Macaca fascicularis: one gene and its partners. The protein of the gene in region 3 interacts with the protein of the main gene of each other region in a pairwise test. Links are inferred from orthologs where the notes say so. Each region holds a gene or a part of one and is shown on either strand. Other genes may lie near its edges. The genes, in order: SLC35A2, CCER1 and PLSCR1.

What was found.
Region 1: the proteins of PLSCR1 (region 3) and SLC35A2 interact in a two-hybrid assay, tested with the Homo sapiens proteins (2 studies listed by BioGRID and IntAct). The two-hybrid records come from large-scale screens. The link is inferred for Macaca fascicularis from reciprocal best matches to the Homo sapiens genes PLSCR1 and SLC35A2.
Region 2: the proteins of PLSCR1 (region 3) and CCER1 interact in a two-hybrid assay, tested with the Homo sapiens proteins (2 studies listed by BioGRID and IntAct). The two-hybrid records come from large-scale screens. The link is inferred for Macaca fascicularis from reciprocal best matches to the Homo sapiens genes PLSCR1 and CCER1.

Annotation. Positions count from the first base shown.
Region 1 is NC_088395.1:49,059,810-49,063,464, forward strand, and holds part of SLC35A2 (UDP-galactose translocator), read right to left. Parts: intron 2,685-3,655; coding exon 2,533-2,684; intron 1,632-2,532; coding exon 895-1,631; coding exon of another isoform or gene 876-894; exon of another isoform or gene 545-875; coding exon 418-544; 3' UTR 1-417. UniProt on the Homo sapiens protein: Transports uridine diphosphate galactose (UDP-galactose) from the cytosol into the Golgi apparatus, functioning as an antiporter that exchanges UDP-galactose for UMP.
Region 2 is NC_088385.1:97,969,433-97,972,512, forward strand, and holds CCER1 (coiled-coil domain-containing glutamate-rich protein 1), read right to left. Parts: upstream 1,902-3,080; coding exon 984-1,901; intron 939-983; coding exon 636-938; downstream 1-635. UniProt on the Homo sapiens protein: Regulator of histone epigenetic modifications and chromatin compaction into the sperm head, required for histone-to-protamine (HTP) transition.
Region 3 is NC_088376.1:49,326,315-49,329,119, forward strand, and holds the end of PLSCR1 (phospholipid scramblase 1), read right to left. Parts: intron 2,582-2,805; coding exon 2,420-2,581; intron 1,518-2,419; coding exon 1,461-1,517; 3' UTR 585-1,460; downstream 1-584. UniProt on the Homo sapiens protein: Catalyzes calcium-induced ATP-independent rapid bidirectional and non-specific movement of phospholipids (lipid scrambling or lipid flip-flop) between the inner and outer leaflet of the plasma membrane resulting in collapse of the phospholipid asymmetry which leads to phosphatidylserine externalization on the cell surface.

The DNA of each region.
Region 1 (3,655 bases), on a different chromosome or scaffold from region 3:
AATCCCACGACACCCCCATGAGGTAGGGGTGCCTCACACAGCCAGACAGATATCAACAGTATGATTGGCAGCTTTATTTTTCCTCTCTAGACGTCTCCAAAAATAACCCTGCATCTGGCAACTGACAGTGTCTTAAATACAATGAGATTCAGCCACTTCAAGGACCTCCATTTTTCCCACACCCTGGATCATTAATGATATGATTACACCACAAATCCCAAGTCCACTAAAAATCAAATGGCCCCGACCGCACCTTCTGCCAGAAGGGCTGATGCAAAAATCTTAGCTCTTGTCCCTTTCTCCCTGGGGACTCACAAGAAGTCCATCTTCAAGGTGTCAGGGAAGCTGGCCCAAGGCCACACAAAAGACGGAACTGCTAACATGATCCAGAGCGGTGGTAAGGGAGGAGAGAAGGCCTCAAACTACGGGCAACTGAACCCCAACAGGTAGGCATCGGTCATTCCTGAAGAGCTGCGGAGTTCTGTCCAGTGTGTCCTTATGGAGGTGGAGGGACTGCTGGGAGGGAATCTCCCAGACAAGACACCTCCAGAAGAGGGCATAGGGTCAGGGAGGGAGCAGACAAAAAAAAAGGCCTTGAATAATAACCCCGACCCTGCCTCCAAAGAGGTTAGAGGGGGCAGAGGAGGCAGCTCTAAAACCCCCACCGGGGGAAGGGGGTCAGCCTACCAGGAAGGGTTCACGTGACACCCAGCTCTAGTCCCACGCCCCTCCAGAAGTCTCAGTGACCTGGGAGAAAAGACCATCTCCCAAACCCAGAGGAGCCAGGCCCCGGAGGGCGGCAACTTGGGTCCTGCAGATGCCCAACACCCTCCACCCCAGTCCCCCTCCCTTGTGTTCCCCATTGCTGCCAGCCCTCACTTCACCAGCACTGACTTCGGCAGAAAGGACTCCGTGATGAGATCTCCATGGTGGGAAGACAGCTGCGGTGGCGGTGGCTGCCCGGGAGGCTGCTGGTGAACGCAGGGCCCGGAGGCGGAAGCAGAGGCAGAGGCTATGGCTTTGGCTGCACCTCGGGGAAGGCTGTAGAGGTAGACGGCACCAATGACGAGCCCAGCGCCAAGGGCAAATAATGGGTCCACGTGGAAGCCAAAGAGGCGAATGGAGGCAACAGTGGACAGCACAATGGACAGGGAGGTGGCAAAGCCCTTGAGGATGTTGTCAGCGTACTTGACAACCACAGCCACCAGTAGCCCACCAAAGGCCTGGTTGAGCACCACGCCCCAGACAGCAGGCGTGTACCCAAAAAAGAAACCGCGGGTGGCCACGGCGGTACCCTCAGCCCACCAGAGCCCCACTAGGCCCAGTGCTGTGCCAAAGAGGCCCAGTTGCAGGTTGCGCAGCCACACGGAGCCTGAGCTGCCTTTGAGGATCTTCTCAAAGTAGACACCTGCAAAGCCGGAGGAGAGACAGGAGGCCACGACGGCTGCCAGGCCTGCCCCAGGGTTCTGATCCAGTGGCCGTGGGCCTCCCCCACTGGCTTGCTGTGCCTGGACAATGGCGACGCCAGTGAAGAGGAGCAGCAGGGAGGCCCACTGCAGCCGGGAAAGGCTGCGGTTCAGCATGAGCACGGAGAACAGCGCTGTGGTCAGGATCTTCAGCTGGTACGTCACCTGCGAGTGGCACGTGGAAGGCACTGAGGGCTAACCCTGGCCCCCAACAGGTACATATGGGGGGCAGCACCCACTGTGGGTCCCCAGGCACAACGGAGGGACAGGGTGGGGGGTATGACAACAAAAACAGCAAAAGGAGCCAGCCACTGGCCATTGGCTGAGCTGCAGCAAAACAGTTCTGAGGTCTCTCCCACCAAGTGCACAAAAGGACGGCTGTGCCAGGAAGTCCACATCCCAATCCTATTTCCTGGCTGTGTGACGGGACAAAGCACTTGCCCTGTCTGAGCCCTGGCATCATCATCTATAAAAGATGGCTGAGGTATGGAAGTATCTTTGTGATGAGGGACTTGATACAAATGAATCAATAGCCACAACAATTTCAGCAAATACTTACATAGTGTTTACAATGTATCAGTGTGGTTCTAGGCACTGCACATGAATTCATTCATTTAATTCTCACAACACCATTCTGAAGTGAGCACCACTGTAAGCCCCAATTTAAAGATGAGAAAACTAAGGCACAGAAAGGTTAGGTGACGTGCCCCAAAATCACACAGCTGGAAAGTAGCAGAGCTGAGATTTGAACCCAGGCAGCCTGCTCCCAGAATCCAGGCTCTTTAACCATTTCACAAAGCTGCCCACAAATAGCCTAAAGCTTATCTATCATCAACCAAGGGCTCTTCACAGGTATTATTTCTTTTAAGTATCCTAGCATCTCAGTGAACAGGCATTACTATTTCCACCCCCAATTTTCAGACGAGAAAAGGTTGAGGGAATTCCAAGGACATTCTGGAGGTGACATAGCCCCTGTCCTCTGCAACATCCCCCCACCACGCTATTCCCATACTCCAGTCCCCAACCCAGTTAGTTCCTCTGGGGCCATGCTGGGCTTGCGGCTCACCTGGAAAGTGGCAGCTGGTAGGTTAGAGATGGCAACATACTGGAGGTTATTCTGCAAGGTGTAGATGAGAGAGGGCACTGCGAGCTTGAGTGTGTCCACATACTGCACCAGGACAGCCTCATGAAGGAAGAGAACCAGGTGCTTCACGTTACCTAGGTGGGAGGAGGAGAGCCCTTCTCAGCACTGACAGCCATACACGGGGAACCCCTGAAGGCTGGGAACAGGCCTTGCTATCGTGACTCCCCCATCCACCCTGCTGTCCAATCCCTGGGGGCTGGAATGAAGTCTGTGATCTTGGTTTTCCCTAGGGTATAACCATGTTTCCAGCTAGCTTTTCTGAGACTCAGTTTAATGGCAGCAAAAGAATCAGCCATCTGTGTCTGCTAATCACAGAGCATGTCACTATGTTAGAGCCTACCTCCCTGGCAGACAGCCCCATTCAGGGCAAGCACTCAATACTCAATACATTTTTGTACAATGAAATAACCATCATTAGGCTAGGCGCCATGGCTCATGCCTGTAATCCCAGCACTTTGGGAGGCCAAGGCGGGTGGCTCATGAGGTCAGGAGTTCAAGACCAGCTGAGCCAACCACACGGAAACCCCATCTCTACTAAAAATACAAAAATTAGCCAGGTGTGGTGGCATGTGCCTGTAATCCCAGCTACTTGGGAGGCTGAGGCAAGAGAATTGCTTGAACCTGGGAGGCAGAGGTTGCAGTGAGCTGAGACAATGCCATTTGCACTCCAGCCTGGGCGACAGAGTGAGACTCCATCTCAAATAAAATAAAATAAAATAAGAAATAACCATCATTAACTTGGAGCTTATGAAATAGAAGCCCTAGGAGCTGGGGTGGAGGGCTGTCTCCCACACAGAAGAGAAGTTTAGTCTAGACTTTTCTTTTTTTTTTTTTTTTTTTTTTTTTGCACAGTGGCACCATCTCGGCTCAGGCTCACTGCAACCTCCACCTCCCAGGTTCAAGTGATTTTCCTGCCTCAGCCTCCCGAGTAGCTGGGACTACAGGTGCATGCCACCACTCCCAGCTAATTTTTTGTATTTTTAGTAGAGACGGGGTTTCACCGTGTTAGCCAGGATGGTCTCCATCTCCTGACCTCGTAATCCGC
Region 2 (3,080 bases), on a different chromosome or scaffold from region 3:
AGCAACTTCATGTTTTTCTGAGGAAGATCCATAGCACTGTGGAACAAGGAATATCAATAAGCGATGCCACAAGAGACTGCAAATGGGGTTAACAAAATACAGCCCTCAAAAATGAACTCTGATGGTGGAAAAATCTACGAGGTAAAATATTGTTGAAAAAAAATACAGGGATTGAAAATGGCTTCAGTTATGTTAAGAGCACTGGTGAACATTCAGCAGCGTTAGAATGTGCTTTCTTATGCATGTAACAAACTATCTCTTCATGCCAAGCTCATTAAGTGGCTAAGTTGTATAAATTTGTTCAAAAACAAACGCTTTTCCAGCATTTATAGATTTCAAAAAAAAACAGCAACTTTGTTTTCTAGTGGGGAAAACACCAGGTGAAAATATTCTAATGGTAGTAATAAAATACTTGGCCTTTAATCAGTTCCAGTAAAATTATATTTGAAAGCTCCCCCACCACCACCCATAGTCATACACATACGCATCAAATTTTAAGCATTTTATAATGGCCAAAGAAGGTGTTTACATCTGTTTATTAATGGAACTCACTTTTTAATCAGTTTTTAATAAATTGCTAATCCAGTTTAGCCTCAAATCAGTTCCATCCCTTTCCTCAATCCCTTTTCTGATGTCTAACAGTTAAAGTCCTGTGCAGTGAACAGGGATTCCTGTGGCACTTTGGGAATTATCTGCTCTGGGTTTAAAAAAGTGCAGCTTATAAAGTTCTCTCTCTTTTCTTCAGCCTCTACGAAGATTGATAAAGGCATTTCCAGAGGCAAATGAAATTCTTCCCCTCTCTGCTCGTTCTCCTCCAGGACCTCCTCTTCCCCTTCTACCTCCTCCTCTTCCTCCTCCTCCTCCTCCTCCTCCTCCTCCTCCTCCTCCTCCTCCACATATTCAGCCTCTTCGACCTCTTCCTCCTCCTCATCTTCGACCTCTTCCTCTTCCTCATCTTCCACCTCTTCTTCCTCATCTTCGACCTCTTCTTCCTCATCTTCAACCTCTTCTTCCTCCTCCTCGCTCACCTCCTTTGCATCACACACCTCCTGGTCATACTCCTCCTCATCATCATTTTTCTTCTCCTCTTCCTCCACCAGCAACGGGGCAAGAGACTGGTTTTCCTCTGATTTAGGACTGAATGCTAGAGAGGGATTCTGCACAAAGCCATACAGAGCTTCCTGCAGTCCCCAGGTTTCCTCGCTGCCGCCAGGGGGCGCGTCGTTTCCGGAGGATCTGGCCGGGGAGGCCTCGCCGCTCACCGGGGCCTTCTGCGCCCTCAGCGCCTCCTGCTGACGCTCCAGCTTCTCCTGCTGCCGCATGTCCTCGTAGATCTGGTTCATGATGAATTGGGTGGTGTTGGGCGGCGCTCGCATGCCAGGCTCTCTCCACTCGTACAGCTTGACCGGCCGCGGCAGCGTGCTCACATTCGCTGGCGGGCTCCGCGGGGAGGAGCGGCGAGGGTGGTGGCGCAGGCCGCGACCCCTGCGGCCCCAGCGCTTCTTCCTGCCTGGGGGCCTCGCCCAGCTAGGGTTCCAGGACCCGTTCCAGCAGGAGCAGCAGCAAAAGCAGAGAGGGTGCAGGCCATACACCCGAAACACTTGCACTGGGCAATGGAACTTCCGGAATCCTGGAGGGGGTGGGCGCCAGGGCCCTCCCCAGCACCCCCAGTTAAAGCACACGGGTGGTTGGAACCAAAAGCCCGGGCCGTGCTGTTGCTTCGGCTGCTTCCTTGGGGGCCCATACTCGGTCTTGGGGCTATAGCGGTGCGGCCTATTGTACACTGGAGCGCCCTGGCGCCTTCGATGGCAGGACGACCAGGAGCTCAAGGAGGCCGAGTGTGCCCAGCCACCGCCGCCCAGGTTCAGAGGGTCTTCCCTTGTGTCGAGGGTCTGAGTCATCGTTCGGGGAGCTCTGAGAGGTCTAGATGGTAGCGACCCAGAAGCTGTCGTCAAGTTTTGCCAGATAGGACGGTCAGAAGAGCCTCGTCTCGTCACCCTGTCTCTCCACGCAGTGCCACGTGTCTACCCCTGGGATCACGTTTTCTCTCCAGGAGGCCGCTCTCTTCCTGGTTTGCGAGCTCTTCGGTAGTAATCGCTTGTCCTTCGCACCTGGGTTGTCTCACCCAGGTGTGCTGGGTGGGACTGGGGCTGGGCAAGGATGGTGGGGGAGGAAGGTGTTGGCAGGCGACACGCAGTGAGACCCACTCCCGGGTCCCCCCCACACCCGGCTCTGCTGAGGCACGGGCTGGGGCCGGGGGAGGCAGGGGTTGCGCAGTTACCTGCTGCTACCTCTCAACCCAGGTGCTTCACTGTCGCCGTCCTGGCAGGACTGGGGTGGCGAGGGCAGCGGCAGCCTTTAAATACTGGCTGTGGTCTCCCGCGTGCCCACCGCGTTCTTGGTCGCCCAGGGCAACAGCCAATTGGGGTCGAAATCGTCCTCCCTGTGTGCAAGACCGGGTTCTGGCTGGAACCAGGCTCTAGGTGAACATTCGCAGGGGGCTTGTGACGTAGCGTTTGGGGGAGGCGAAGAGGGGCTCAGGCTGGGTTTGTGCTGCTCAATTCAAGCACGTCTGGAGGCAGTTTATCCGAAAGCTTTGTGTCACCTTGAGGCAGGGGTTTAGAAGATGGGCCTTCATCTGAACCCGGTGGGGGCGGGAGAACTTGAGTTTTGAAAACCCCACATTCTACACCTTTGGAGGGTAAAATGACACAAGCCAGGGTAGGGATGCCTATTTTTACATCAAGCACAAGTGTCTTTACATGTACTATATCACCTCTTTTGTATTAATGGAAAATTAATGGAAAATTACTGGAGAAAGAAAACTTGGCCCAACCTCTTACCTTCTGGCCGGTGCCAACTCTTCTTACTCCGGGGAAATGGAATTCATAATACATAAAACAAGGCCACAAACATTTATTATTGCATGTGCTTCCTGACACATAATCCTGTCATCTACCCTGAGAGGTAGGCGTATCTTATCACCTGTCACAGATGAGGGAACTGAGGGGTTAATTTCCCCATGGTTGTGGGGCTAATACATTTTCGGGCTACTATTTAAGCCTAAGCCTGTTTGATGC
Region 3 (2,805 bases):
CCCCTTTTCAGCTCCCTTTTCCACTGAGAGTCACTTTCCTCAGCAATAAAATCCCCGCATTTACCATCCTTCAGTTGTTTTTGTGACCACATTTTTCCTGGACGCCGGACAAGAGCCTGGGAGCCATGAGTGCAGATATAAAAGGCACTAACACTCGCCCTTTGCCCTTGCTGGTGGAGGGCAGCTGTCCCACGTGACAAGACAAAGGGCTCACGGAGCTGTTAACACTTAAGCTGTCCACAGACTGCAGAGCTAAAAGAGCACCGTAACACACCTTCTGGGGCTTCAGGAATCGCAGGCAACCGCACCTGGTTGCTACCACAGGGCGTGCACGGAGTTTGCTCTTGCCCGTGCCAAAGCGGTCAGCCAGTTCCAGTGCTTGTGCACTCCAGTTCCTGCCTTGTTTGCCTGCGCACTCCCTCCCAGGAGGAGTTGAGAGTGGCAGGCTGAGTAAACAAGACACCCCTTCTCGAGTCCCAGGAAGGGGTCAGGGAAATATCCTGCTTCAAATGTACCATCATTTAACTGAATGAGTGTTCAAAATACCATCTGAACACATTTTGTTTAAAAACAAAAGTCAAATATACAAAAAAATCAAGTTTTTATTTCAAATATTTGAATCTAATAGATCATTATTTAGGTTTATTTTCTGTGAATATATATATATATATAATATTATATTTAATTAACATCTGAAAATTACCATTTTCTAGAAAGGATAGAGTATAAAAGCTATACATTTCATATATAAATATTAACTTTCAAAATTTATAATAGTACGAGTTTTAGAGTGAAGGAGTGTTTAAAATGTGCCTTTCTTTGGACAAGAATCATTTTGTTCTTTATTTTGTTCTTTATTTAACAATAATTTAAAAACTGGTAATTTAATATCTTGTGAACATGAATGTATCATTTATGGTACAGCTTAGCTTCTAGGAGAAGTTAAGTGTAGCATGATTTCTTGAAGATTAAAAAAATACATTTAACTTTTTAAAGATAATATACATATTGAATATTATTTGAACATAACAGTAAAGAAAATTATCTTTGAACTTTTTTGAATATATGGCATTTGCAAAATAACATTAGCTATTATGCATGAAATAAATTGTAACTAGATTTAAAATATAATTTATATAAAAATTAATAAGGCCTTAGTTAATATTCGGTAGTAAAATGGACAGTGGATCAGAGATCATAATTCAAAGCAGTTTTTTATAGGAAGTTTCATTAATAAATGCAAAAACTCAGATGCCCTTTTTCTCAAATTCACAATGAGTATTAAAAAATGTACAAAAACCTTTATAAATCAGTTATACAGAAGATAAACTATAATTTGAAAAGCAAAAGTATACAACCAGAGCTACAGGCATTACAGCTTAATTCACACAGGTATGAGTTTAGATAGTCTCAATCAATTTACGGACTTCAGATTTCCTGAGGAGACTTTCACTAATCCACTACCACACTCCTGATTTTTGTTCCTGGCTGCCAGTGCTTTCAAAAAACATGAAATCCTAGATAAAAACAAAAATATACAAATGAATTTTCAGCAACAAAACAGAGATCAATGATCAGATGCAGAAATACTAAGGGATCTAGTGAAACACAGTAACATATCTGTTAAAAAAATTAAATGTAATAAACACAGAAAAGCTCTATAGTTATATAAGTTCTACCTTTAGCTTTCCATTTTAATAATAAATTTTATAATTCTATTCATGTATTGATACCTGTATGAATTTAATTAATCTTCCGGTTATTTTCTCTAAATGTGACTTTTTCTCTATCCCCATAATTCTCATCTGTGGCTGCATATTGGAACCACCTGGAGCACTATACGAACTTCGAAGTTTGACTCAGTTGAACTGAGGTATGGACTAGTACTTACAGTTTTTAAAGGTCCCTAAGTGATTCTAATGTGAAGGCAATTTCAGAATCACTGGTATATCCGATTATCTCCTGTAATTTGGTAGTTAGGTCTACACACTTGAGTGAATGCACACTCTTACTGTAGTTCATACTCCTATATTAGATGGTTTAATTTAATTACTATGAGTCATGGTCAAGTTTCCTTGTTTCACTAAATTTTTTCCACATATGCCCGCTTTCAATTTCTTCAAAGCATGTAGGAGATGGCTGATTTAAGGGGAGACTAAAATCTCTCCTCAGTACGCCTCCTTAGTCCCTCTCTTGCCATGTGAATATTCATAGACTCTTCAGACAGAAACTAGTCACCCCAGAGTGTCAGGATCAAATAGAATTTCAGAGCTAGGATTAAATGGGAATCCTGATTTAAAAATCTATAAATTTTAAAAAGTCATTTTGAAATATACACTTTACTGAATCATTTCAGAATGATTAGTAGAAAGCATATAGAGAAAGCATCTATAATCAAGATTAATAAGAACAAACTTACAATGAGGAAACAGGCACCAATCATTACAGCTTTCATTTTAACATCAAGGTCTAAAGGGAACTGGATTCCAAAGTTATCAGCATCTGTAAATGCCTCTCTCAAAATTCCAGTCCAGTGCTTGGAAATTTTGCCAACCACACACTGTTCATCAAGAGATTTAATCTAAATTGAAAAAAAAGTATTACATATTTTTAGGAAACTTATAGCAAAAGTACTTTCAAATTTGAAGATGAAACAAATATGGTATTAAAATTATGTACCATATGTAACCATGAACATGTAACCCTCATTAGATAACTAGAGGCTCCGGTATCTATTTATAGATATATGAAAAAAACTGTTTCATTATATAGAGAAATTATATGAAAGTAGTTTTTCTGAAATAT